Nothobranchius furzeri: one gene and its partners. The protein of the gene in region 1 purifies or fractionates together with the protein of each later gene. This does not show direct contact. Links are inferred from orthologs where the notes say so. Each region holds a gene or a part of one and is shown on either strand. Other genes may lie near its edges. The genes, in order: lrrc59, ybx1 and stau1.

What was found.
Region 2: the proteins of lrrc59 (region 1) and ybx1 purify together in Homo sapiens (co-immunoprecipitation; 3 studies listed by BioGRID and IntAct, with this or other methods). This does not show direct contact. The link is inferred for Nothobranchius furzeri from reciprocal best matches to the Homo sapiens genes LRRC59 and YBX1.
Region 3: the proteins of lrrc59 (region 1) and stau1 purify together in Homo sapiens (affinity purification with mass spectrometry; 3 studies listed by BioGRID). This does not show direct contact. The link is inferred for Nothobranchius furzeri from reciprocal best matches to the Homo sapiens genes LRRC59 and STAU1.

What each region holds. Positions count from the first base shown.
Region 1 is NC_091756.1:45,077,678-45,081,429, reverse strand, and holds the start of lrrc59 (leucine-rich repeat-containing protein 59), read right to left. Parts: upstream 2,705-3,752; 5' UTR 2,292-2,704; exon of another isoform or gene 2,201-2,291; intron 2,174-2,200; 5' UTR 2,083-2,173; coding exon 1,984-2,082; intron 1,888-1,983; coding exon 1,828-1,887; intron 1,493-1,827; coding exon 1,334-1,492; intron 942-1,333; coding exon 837-941; intron 766-836; coding exon 693-765; intron 512-692; coding exon 326-511; intron 236-325; coding exon 1-235.
Region 2 is NC_091755.1:32,516,058-32,519,809, forward strand, and holds the start of ybx1 (Y-box-binding protein 1), read right to left. Parts: upstream 2,361-3,752; 5' UTR 2,184-2,360; coding exon 2,078-2,183; intron 562-2,077; coding exon 498-561; intron 264-497; coding exon 230-263; intron 148-229; coding exon 58-147; intron 1-57. UniProt on the Homo sapiens protein: DNA- and RNA-binding protein involved in various processes, such as translational repression, RNA stabilization, mRNA splicing, DNA repair and transcription regulation.
Region 3 is NC_091743.1:66,052,568-66,055,608, forward strand, and holds part of stau1 (double-stranded RNA-binding protein Staufen homolog 1), read right to left. Parts: coding exon 3,018-3,041; intron 2,932-3,017; coding exon 2,760-2,931; intron 2,678-2,759; coding exon 2,582-2,677; intron 2,492-2,581; coding exon 2,279-2,491; intron 2,190-2,278; coding exon 2,046-2,189; intron 1,958-2,045; coding exon 1,811-1,957; intron 1,341-1,810; coding exon 1,277-1,340; intron 1,206-1,276; coding exon 886-1,205; intron 815-885; coding exon 692-814; intron 1-691. UniProt on the Homo sapiens protein: Binds double-stranded RNA (regardless of the sequence) and tubulin.

The DNA of each region.
Region 1 (3,752 bases):
GACGACAGGTTCAGCAGCAGCTGTCTGGCCACACCCTCCTGCACTTTGACCCAGGATACGCCGTCAGTGACGGCGGCGTTGATCGGCACGCAGACGGCTTCCTTCTGTAGGTCGGTGAGCTGACAGGCAGCGACGATTCCTACCATGCCCAACATCAGCAGGAGGAGGAGCTTAAACACCAGACCAATGAGGGAACGGCATGGTTTAGGTGCTGGCTTTGCTGCAACGTTTTTATCTGCAGAGACAAAACGTGACATCAGAACATCTTCAGGCTGAAACTACAAACGTTTCTCATTTCAAACACGAACCATCGCGTTGATCTCACCTGCTGCTTGTCCATTTTTCTTTTTCTTCTCATTTTTCTTCTGCTGAGCCTTCGCAGCTGCAGCTGCCACCTGAGCGTTGTACTCCTTCCTCCTCTTCTCCTTCTCCTCTGCTTTTTCCTGTTTACGGGCCTCCCTCTCTTTGGCCTCCCGCTCCCTCTGTTTGGCCTCCCTCTTCTTCTCCAGCTCTACGAGCAGACAACGTTGGGTCAGTGGGTTGACTTTGATGCTTTTTACACTTTAATCTGAAACCAATTTCCTACAAATGGTCAAACATCTAGCTTCACAAATCTTGATGCAGGAGGTTTTCTTTCACACCATCGATCGTCTCTTTAACACCTTTTGTCTAGAACATTTTCATTTACCCACCTTTTTCCTTTAAAAGACGTTTCTCCCGTGCGCGATCAACATCCTCCTGAATTGCTCTCATGAGCTGCAGAACCTGAGAAATGCAGTCATTAGTTACATGTTTGTTTTGGTGAACAAGCTGATTAATGAATGAGTCTCTGCCACCTTTATGGCACACAGTTTACACTGCTTCTCATCCAGGCAGTCTCCTGCAGCTTTAGCTAGGCCAGGTTCCAGAGGGTTATCCTTCAGATCGAGCCACTTCAGATTCTAAAACACACACACACACACACACACACACACACACACACACACACACACACACACACACACACACACACACACACACACACAGTCACTTTGGACTTGGACTGATACATCAGACAACAGGAGTGTGACATTTATCAAGTTTGAATTGTGATTTTAGCTTCTGATCATAAAAAACAACATAATGAATAGATTTCAATTAAATTGTCACATTCTGCATTGCCAGCATAATTTCTCATGTTTTACAAAGTCAGAGCCAGAGCAAGGGCCCACGGTACAAGAGTAAACCCCCCCACCACAGCTATACAAGGACGGGGAACATAAACAGATCCAGTGCTCTGAGGATCTCCATGTAAAACGGGCGGTGTGTTTGAGCTGCATGGTCCATATCTTACCCTGAGCTGAGAGAAGCTGACAGGCAGAACCGTCAGCTTGTTGTTGTACAGGTCCAGATGTTGAAGGTTGACTAGGTTCCCCAGGTCATCTGGCAAACGGGTCAGCTGGTTTTTACTCAAGTCCAGCTTCACTAAGTGAGTCAGGCTGCAGAACTCTGGCTGCATGAACAAAATAAAAGTAAAAACATGATTGCAAATTATTCAGTTTGAGCAACATCAACCCGCAAACATGCTTAACAATAACAGCAGAAACTAGATGAAAGTGGATAGGTAAACCTCGAGATTTTAGAGTTTATAATTATTTATGCAAGAAAAGAAAAGTTTGAATCACTCTCTCCATTTAACAATGTACAGCTCGGTTTAATAGAAATTCAAACTTTTAAAAGAAAAAGTATCTTTGGTAGCTTTAATGAAACATACTGACGTGGATGCACTCACGTGCTTTCACTTAAAATGCTCAATATTTGCTCTGGATGAGTCAGTTAGACACTTACAGGAAGGGAGATGATGTTGTTGCAGGACATGTCCACGGCAGTGGCTTTGGGAAATGAAGACTGTTAGAGAAAGGAAGGTAGTTAAACCATGACATCACAACATCTCCTTATCTGGCTGTATTTATTACAAACATGTAAACACCCTGAGTGACTTACGAGCTCTTTGACTGGTACCTCACTGAGGTTACTCAGGCTCAGGTCCACTTCATTTCCACTGATTTTATCCCTCAGGTTTAACACTTTGTTTTTACTCATCCTTCAGTCCGAGGCGCCTCTTGCCAACACACCGAGGTTAAACAGATCAGTGGAGATACTTCTGATCGCCAGACAACAGGAAACCCTGAAACTACGACGATTTTATAAGATTTCTCACCTGTAAACGATAACCGTGGAAAACTGCGTCCTAGTTTAACAGCCGGTAAACAACATCGACATATAAGACAAACACACGGCAGGTATATTACGTCAGTTAGAAGAAATTTGGTGCACAAGCTTTGAATCGTGTTTCTGGCAGTGGCAGCACTGACTGAACGAAAATCCACGTCACTGATTGAGCTGCTACGCGGAGACGTTAGCGCAAACCACGCAGCGTCCCCTGCAGGACCGGAGGAGACAAGACGCGCTTTGAATCTCCCTCTCCAAATCCTAACCCGAGGCGCTGTCCTTCTCTTTAGCATGGAGGCAATAGTACATTCATCACAAATTCTGACTTAAGTTTTCTTAGTGCTACTTTAAAGCAGATTTAAAAAAAATCTGTTTTCCCATAAAGTATGACTTAACTTCTGAATGTTTAACCTCCGTGTTTCCTTTTCGGGCCAGAGCAATCTTCTTTACTCAATTGGCCCCACCCCCCTGATTTAATGTGTAAGTGACAGATTAAAAAAGCAGGAGGAAGTGCAGCACAGGAACATTAAATAACTTAATAAACAGTGACATGATTATAGATATCTGTATTTTTTTGTCTTTGTGGCTTATGTAACGAATTAAGGATTAGATTAGGTACTTGTGTATTTATTTTCAATTTTATTTTATCGATGATTATTTAATGAGGTATATGCCACCAAGCTCTTCTACCAAACGTGGAAGACATGTAAAGGGGTGGATGTGGCAGGTTTTGAATGAAAGTACTCAACCTAATACTTCACTGGTGTAAGACCAAAAAAGATTTGTGCCAAATTGGGGCCATTTTAAAGAGAAACCTTGAAATTCCCTTTTTGTTAGCTCAAACATCTTCTCACAGACAGTGCAATGCATACACTTTATTAATCATTTTAATAAACAGCTATGCAATTTGTATTTATTGTTGCTAACATAAAACAATTCTGCACTCAAAAACCAGTTGTGAGTCAGCCTCACAACTTATTTTTGATGTTGTTTTTTGTTTTGTTTCGGAAAGGCTAGTCTGTGCTTAACCAGCTGTAAAACATAAAGCACAAGAACAGACTGGCAGCTGTAACATAGAAAACAAAATAAACTTTGTTGATGGTCTTAATTTTTCTGGTCCAGTAGCTGGTCTTCCTCTCCTCTTGTATGCCACTGAGGAGGACATTCATCGTTTTAATCAAGTCATTTAGTTCTCCTGAGAACATTTCAGAGGAATGTGGTTCCTCGATCAGCTGACTGCCAGAACCCTGAAAAAAAGAAAGTAACAAACAGCACAGAAAAGGTGAATGGGCCATTTGTGTTTTCTACATGTCTTTAATAAATGCCTGTTAGGACCTGTGTCCTCTTGTGCTATGATATTGTATTCTCTTCAACTTAGACCTGTTTTTATTACTAACCCATGCCATTTGCATCATATTTGCTACATGAGTTTCTGAAACCTCTATCTCATTGACATGATCAATATTTGCCTTAAAAACGGGTTGTATATAATCTGATACATGTATTTTGCCTCCTACTGGATTATTATGCCAAACAGGCAG
Region 2 (3,752 bases), on another chromosome or scaffold:
TAAATTAATCATGATGGAACACAATGTCCTTTAAACAAACAAATCAAAGAAACTTACTTTTTCTCCCTCAACTACATCAAACTCCACAGTTTCTCCGTCCCCAACACTGCGAAGATATTTCCTTGGGTTGTTCTTTTTTATGGCCGTCTGAAATTACAAATAGTTTGAATGTCAAGTCTGCTTAACCACAAATTTCAATAAATGAATAAAAACTAAAGCAACAACTGACCTGGTGTACAAAAACATCTTCCTTTGTATCGTTCCTAGACAAAAGAACAGAATCTTAGTTAGCTGCATTCTGCTGAGCCTCTGCAAACAGACTTAAAACTAAGCCAGTGGGGATTAATTAAGTTCTGTGGGTTGCAACAGGATGGAGATGAGCAGAAAAATAATATGGTCAGCCAAGTACGCAAAGCATAACTTAATAGGATTAGCATGCTTCACTCTCACCCACACCCAGAAATGTACTTTGACACAGGGACCAACAGGTGACTCACCTATTGATGAAACCATATCCATTCCTGACGTTGAACCATTTGACTGTACCCAAGACTTTTGTTGCTGCAATCACAGTCAGAACAAGATTATTAAATACCATCGTCTGCCTGACATGCATTTAGAACAAATCCATATAGCTTAAGTGAAACTGAAACGCTTCCATCATGATGGGACACTTAACGAACTACATCAGAACTATAAAAACATTAAAAACTATGGCCACACATAACGTAGAGGTTATATTTAACCCGCAACTGTCACTCCTATTATAGACACTGATGCTTAGGAGACCCCAGGGCCAGCTGCTCCTAACATGAGCCACCAGTAAGAAAATATCCCAGTAACGATACAACAACTGTCCCAAATGACGCATCCAAAATGTCCCATAATGCATGACAAAGATGAGGATGCAAACAGCGACCAGTCTCTGCACTCGCATGTTTAGTTACTGCAGACCTGCTGCTCCATTTTAGGACGCAGAACCTGAAGGTTCACACGTGGTTGGGTCGCACCCGGATACGTTAACGAGCTGTGAGCTGTGCTCTGCTGGCTATTAGCATGGCTGTGTGGCTAAGGTTAGTACCATGTGGTTGGAGTAGAGCCAGCAAAGAGAAACAAACAAACGCGCATTACTAAACTACATTAATCCGTATTTATTGGTATATATGATAAAGATTTCGGTTTTGAATTAGTTTTTAGCGAACAAATTACAAAGCAGCGGGAAAAAACGGGAAAACACACGGCGGACATTTTGGACGGCCTCCCCTAAAGCCATGTAAATAGCCACTTAGCTGGCTAGGCTAATGTAGCTAGGTTAGCAACCGATGATCTATAGTAAAGTATTTAGGCCACACCGACAGCACGCAAATTCAACCAAAATAAGACCGCCATTGACGGATGTAGCTGGAGTCGCTAGCCAACAACGTTTCTTCTGACAATTTGGCCAAAAAAATCGGGACTGAACGCTTTGGAAAAGGAGAATATTTTAGATAAAATGCCTTGACATGGAATCAAGACTCTTTCGTGCGAACAAAGAGATGGTTAAGCAGCTAACGTTCGTAGCCACTGTAGTTATTTCACATGAACCGGTGTTATAGAGCATTTGGTAGGATTGTTCTGCAATTATTGGCGGTCCAGATGCAGTTATGCAGTTATTAAACCCTAGTCAAAACATCGTGGTTCTGGCAACGGTTGGAAGTGACAGCGAGCATCCATGTGATGACCGGCCGGATACACGCGACTCTCAAACGGATATTTGACGTGAGGAGGCCGATGAGCAATGGAGATAATCAGAATGGAATTCACGATTTAATCTGTGAATAAACCACTCAATTTTTAGAAACTAGACTAATAAAAACCGTTAGATTGAATTTTTTGGACCATTATAATAAGAATGCCCAAAGGAGTGAAGAATTTATCCGTCAACTGGCACTAACGTTTACCAACTGGAGCAAATTAATTTGACGTGGCTGAAATTCTCACGCAAGAACGGCAGCTTTTATTCAAATGCTACATCCACACCCAAGAGCGTATAAATTATAAATGATAACTCCGGCTCGGCTAGCCTAAGAATTCTTACCGATGACCTTCTTATCCCCCGCGGAAGCTGCGGGTGCCGGGCTGGATGGGCTCTCCGCATCCGCAGCAGGCTGTGGAGGTTGTTGCGTCTCGGCCTCGCTGCTCATGGTTACTACTCGTTGGTAATGGCTTCAGCCGGCGGCGGCTCTCTGATATTTTTCCCGGTGCTAGATGGTAACCTGGGCCGGCGGTGGTGGGGGCTACTGCCTTCGGGCTCTCAGCTTTCTTCTTTCCGCTCCCGTTGCCGATCGAACTGGGCAGAACAAGAGACAGTGCAGGGGAATGTTCCCAGGCGAAGACCCGCCCATCTCGTCTCCTGATTAGCTAAAATATGTAGAATTGAACAAATCTCCTTCCAATTGGCTATTGAGACTGTCAATCTTTTTTGAGCAAAGCCTTTGATGAAATTATTGGTCAAAAAGACGTACAGAAGTCTCAACGCCCCCAGTGACGTAAAAGCGAGAGAATTCTGCTTGTGACACTTCCGATAGTATTATGCATTTTGAATTATGTCATACAAAACTGTGAACCATACATGTGGTATGTTGCAAATGTGACAACTTTATGTTTAATTTATTTTGTCGTTTCTAGATAGTTGAAATAATTACTACTATTGTGATGTTTACCGTGGGAACATTCTAAGAAAAGACAAATAAACACCCCATAAATATTAGCAGGTAAAGACAAAGGTAACTGCAGAATCCACTCATATTATGTTCATGCACCACTGGCACCCTTTACAAGCACAGGCCAATGTGTGAAGCGCATGCGGTTAATCTCTCTCTCTCTCTCTCTCTCTCTCTCTCTCTCTCTCTCTCTCTCTCTCTCTCTCTCTCTCTCTCTCTCTCTCTCTCTCTCTCTCTCTCTCTCTCTCTCTCTCTCTCTCTCTCTCTCTCTCTCTCTCTCTCTCTCTCTCTCTCTCTCTCTCTCTCTCTCTCTCGGAGTTAGTGCTGCTAGATTAGACAGATTTTATGTCTCTGGTAAAAAAAAAAAACAGCTTGGGCATTTCGTGCAAGAGAGGGCCAAAGGGGCCTTGATCCGGGCTCGTTTCACCACATTACAGGACATGGATGCTCCAACATCCTTCTTTTTTAACCTGGAAAAGACTTTCAAACCAGAAAAAAACAAATGGTTGCTCTTCGTCTGTCAGATGGACAGTTATCCACAGACCCAGTGGAGATGAGGAAGTATGCAGGAGAATTCTATACCAGCCTATTTAAGGCCATGTGATGTGAACTGTGCCAGAGAGCTGTTGCAGGGGCTCCCTTCCTTGACCACAGCAGACCAAGACATCTTAAATGCAGACATAACCATGGAGGAGCTTACAACGGCAGTCTCCCAGATGGCTGCAGGAAAATCTCTGGGGATAGATGGCTTACCTGCTGACTTCTACAAATTCTACTGGAGCAGTATGGGACAGGACCTGATGGATGTTTTTAAAGACTCACTTCAGACAGGAGCACTTCCTGCATCGTGTAGGTGGGGCGTTCTGTCCCTGCTGCCGAAAAAGGGGACTTAACCCAACTAAAATACTGGAGACCAGTTTCCTTGTTATGTTCAGACAATAAGATTTTTTCTAAATTCTTATCAAACAGACTTTGGGGATTCATCGGAGGTCTAATCCCAGACGATCAGTCCTTTTGAATACCAGGAAAGTAATTAATGGACAATTTATT
Region 3 (3,041 bases), on another chromosome or scaffold:
AAAACATTGTTTACTATTCTGGCAGTCCACATAAACATGAAAACACAACGCTTTTAGAAAAAGTGTGGGTGTTTCAGAAACTAGAACTTCTGAAGATTTGTTTCTGCTGCGGCGTGTCTTTTTCTTTAGTATTAGCATGGCTCAAAAATAGAGAATTCATGTTTTAATCCTTTTAAAGTCACCTTGTTTTACATTTATTCAGCTTTTTGTTTATTATTTAACCTTCTTGGCTGTGAGATAAAACTGCTTAGCTTTAAAAAACTAAGAAAATCCGCCTGACCTTTCGCGTTGATGACAGGAGGATCCATAACCGAAGAATGGTTGTACTTTCTAGGTCACTACAGTTCAGCTATTACAATAAATGCATCTCGTTTTCAACTCCCACTCCTCTGCTGCAGCTGTTCAAACAAACCTAATCACAGAGAGCAGATCCTCTCTGACATTTTCAGATCAAATAACCTCATCATCACGTTTCCGTCTGCGCACACTGCACTGCTGAAGACGTTTAAAATAAACTTTTACTACATGAAAACAATCTTTTTTATTTTGAGACAACATAAACTAATCTGTTACCTTGTGATCTTTAATTCTTAATATCAAAGTAAAAGCATCTTCTTTTTCTGAAAGCGTCGCTCTTACCGTTGCTCCTGAGTGTGTGGGATTATACTGATGCATTGTGGGAGTTACTAACCTTATCATGACAGGATTCTACGTCTTTCCCAATCCCGTGACTGATGAGAGGAGGCTGGGAGGAACAGTTAATCAGCGACACAAACTCATTCTTGTTGTTTTTGGGGAAGTCTTTGTATTCCACCTGCAAAGCAAATGGCAGGTGTCACTAAGCTTGACCAAACGTGAGCTCACGCGTTCATCAATGGTTCTTACCAGCAGGCCCTGCACGGACGCCAGGTAGCCGAGCTGCTCCGACGGCCTCGTGAGGGGGCCGTGGGGCAGCTGGCTCAGGCTGTTTTTGTTCTTTAGGATAGTCTCAGCAGTCGATGACACTCCAGCATAAAGCAGCTCGTTGGCAATCATGGCAGTGATGGTGGCCTTGCCCGGGTTGGGCACAACTCGGCTGTAGTCCTTGACCTGGGGTCCCTGGCAGGCTCCAACTGCCTGGGCCACCTCAGGCACCATGGGCAGGATGCCCGCAGGCAGCTGCTGGTGGCTGAGGTAAGGCAGGCGGAAATCCTCCTCTTTAGGAGCTAACAGAACAGCACTGGTAAGAGCAGATTTGTTTCGCTCCAATCATACAGACGTCTCAGCTGAAACTCACCTAACGCCACCTCCTCCACAAAGAAGGTCACTTTACGCCCATCGCCAGGTTTTTTCACGGGGGTCTATTAAAACAAAAGTTACACGGACACGGTTTGCATGAACATTTAGAGTTTCTGTGTAATTAACTTGACTTTGTTGGTAAGAATTGAGAGCAGCATCTCGCTGGGATGTGGCTGCTGACAATTGTAGGAAAAAAAATGCAGTTTTAGTTGAAACTGTGGATAAATTGTGCCGTTAGCGCACATTTTCTGGCTGAAATGTTATCAAAACTTACTAATTAACTGTTTGTTTAAATTGTTTATTATTGTTCCTGAAATGTCGGATTGTCTTTGTTTTTGTCTCCATTCAGTCACAACTTAGTTTCATAGGACACCAACCCCTCCCAAAGCAAAAGGAGGTTCCACACACCCTGCATGATCAAACTTCAAACATTCATTTCACAAGAGCTGGTATCTGAAAAAGCCTTGCAAACATTGTGGAAACTCTTTGTAAATGTTGTCTGCACTGGGAGTTACTGGCTTCAGCTTTTCACCTTTTCTTCCGTTTTCAGAGCCGGTTTGGGAGGCTGAGGCTGAGGCACTTTGTATCCCAAGAGTTCCAGCATTTTCTCAGCTGCGTTCCTCTTGGCCACCTTCTTACTCGGTCCCATTCCCTCTGCAGACTGGCCACACACAGTCACCTGGAGCAGAAACGAGTAAAAGACGTGTGTAAACAGTAGAAAACTACTACACTTTGTTGCCAGCGTGCCTGAACTGCAGCTGACTCACCTGCATGACAAACTCCCGGCGCCGTGGCAGACCTCTCTCTGTAACCAGAGTGTACTCAGGCTCCTTCTCCTTCTTGGCCTGCTGGATCTGAGCCAGGCGGCTGATGGGATTCATCCCCTGGCCATACTCGGGGCTGGTCTGCAGCTGTGGACATAATGAGTAAATCATAACTTAATGAAGGCTCTTTGGGTCTGATCTGACTAATCCCACCTCGGATTCCGGAGCAACATTACCTTGATGATAGATTTGGTTTTCTTTTTGATGCGTGGCAGCTTCCTTTCCACACTCGGTATGTGGGGGAGCCTCTTCAGCTCACACAGCACCGCCGCTGCCGCCAGCTTCTTGGCGATCTTTTTACTCTTCCCCTCGCCGTTTCCCGAGAACTCTCCGACTGAAACGCTCACGACAAAATTCTTCATGTGTGGAGGGCCCTCCTCTTTTAAAACCTGGAATGAAAAATAAAAACAAACTCTTTTTGTTACAGTCGCAACTTGAACATTCATCTTAAGACTTCTGATGTTAGCAAACATCCAAACCTCAAAGATGACAGGTAAGTTTCGTTTGAGGGCAATTTCAAAAACTTGGCTAATTTCTGATTTGTTTAGGTTCTCATCCTCGGATTCTCCATTCACCTGTTACACATTTAAAAATAAAACAATGTGAAATATTAACAAAACAGTATTTAAGCTGTCTGGTGATGGCTACTCTTCCCACCTCTGGACACTGCTGCAGCATGGGCTCCTTCTGCAGGACTTTCAGCGCTTTGGCAGCAGCATCGTGTTTGGCCATCTGCCGTGTACGCCCCTTTCCAACGTACTGCTGACCCCCGATGGAGAGCTCCATGTGATAAATCATCGGTCCTACCGGGGTAAATGGATAGTAGTACCTGGAAAGATAAGGAAAGTTGTTCCACTCTTGAAAATCAGAGGCTAAACAGAGGAAATATGATTTTTTAAATTGGTGTAAACTGACTGTTGCATAGAGCGCTGGTAAGGC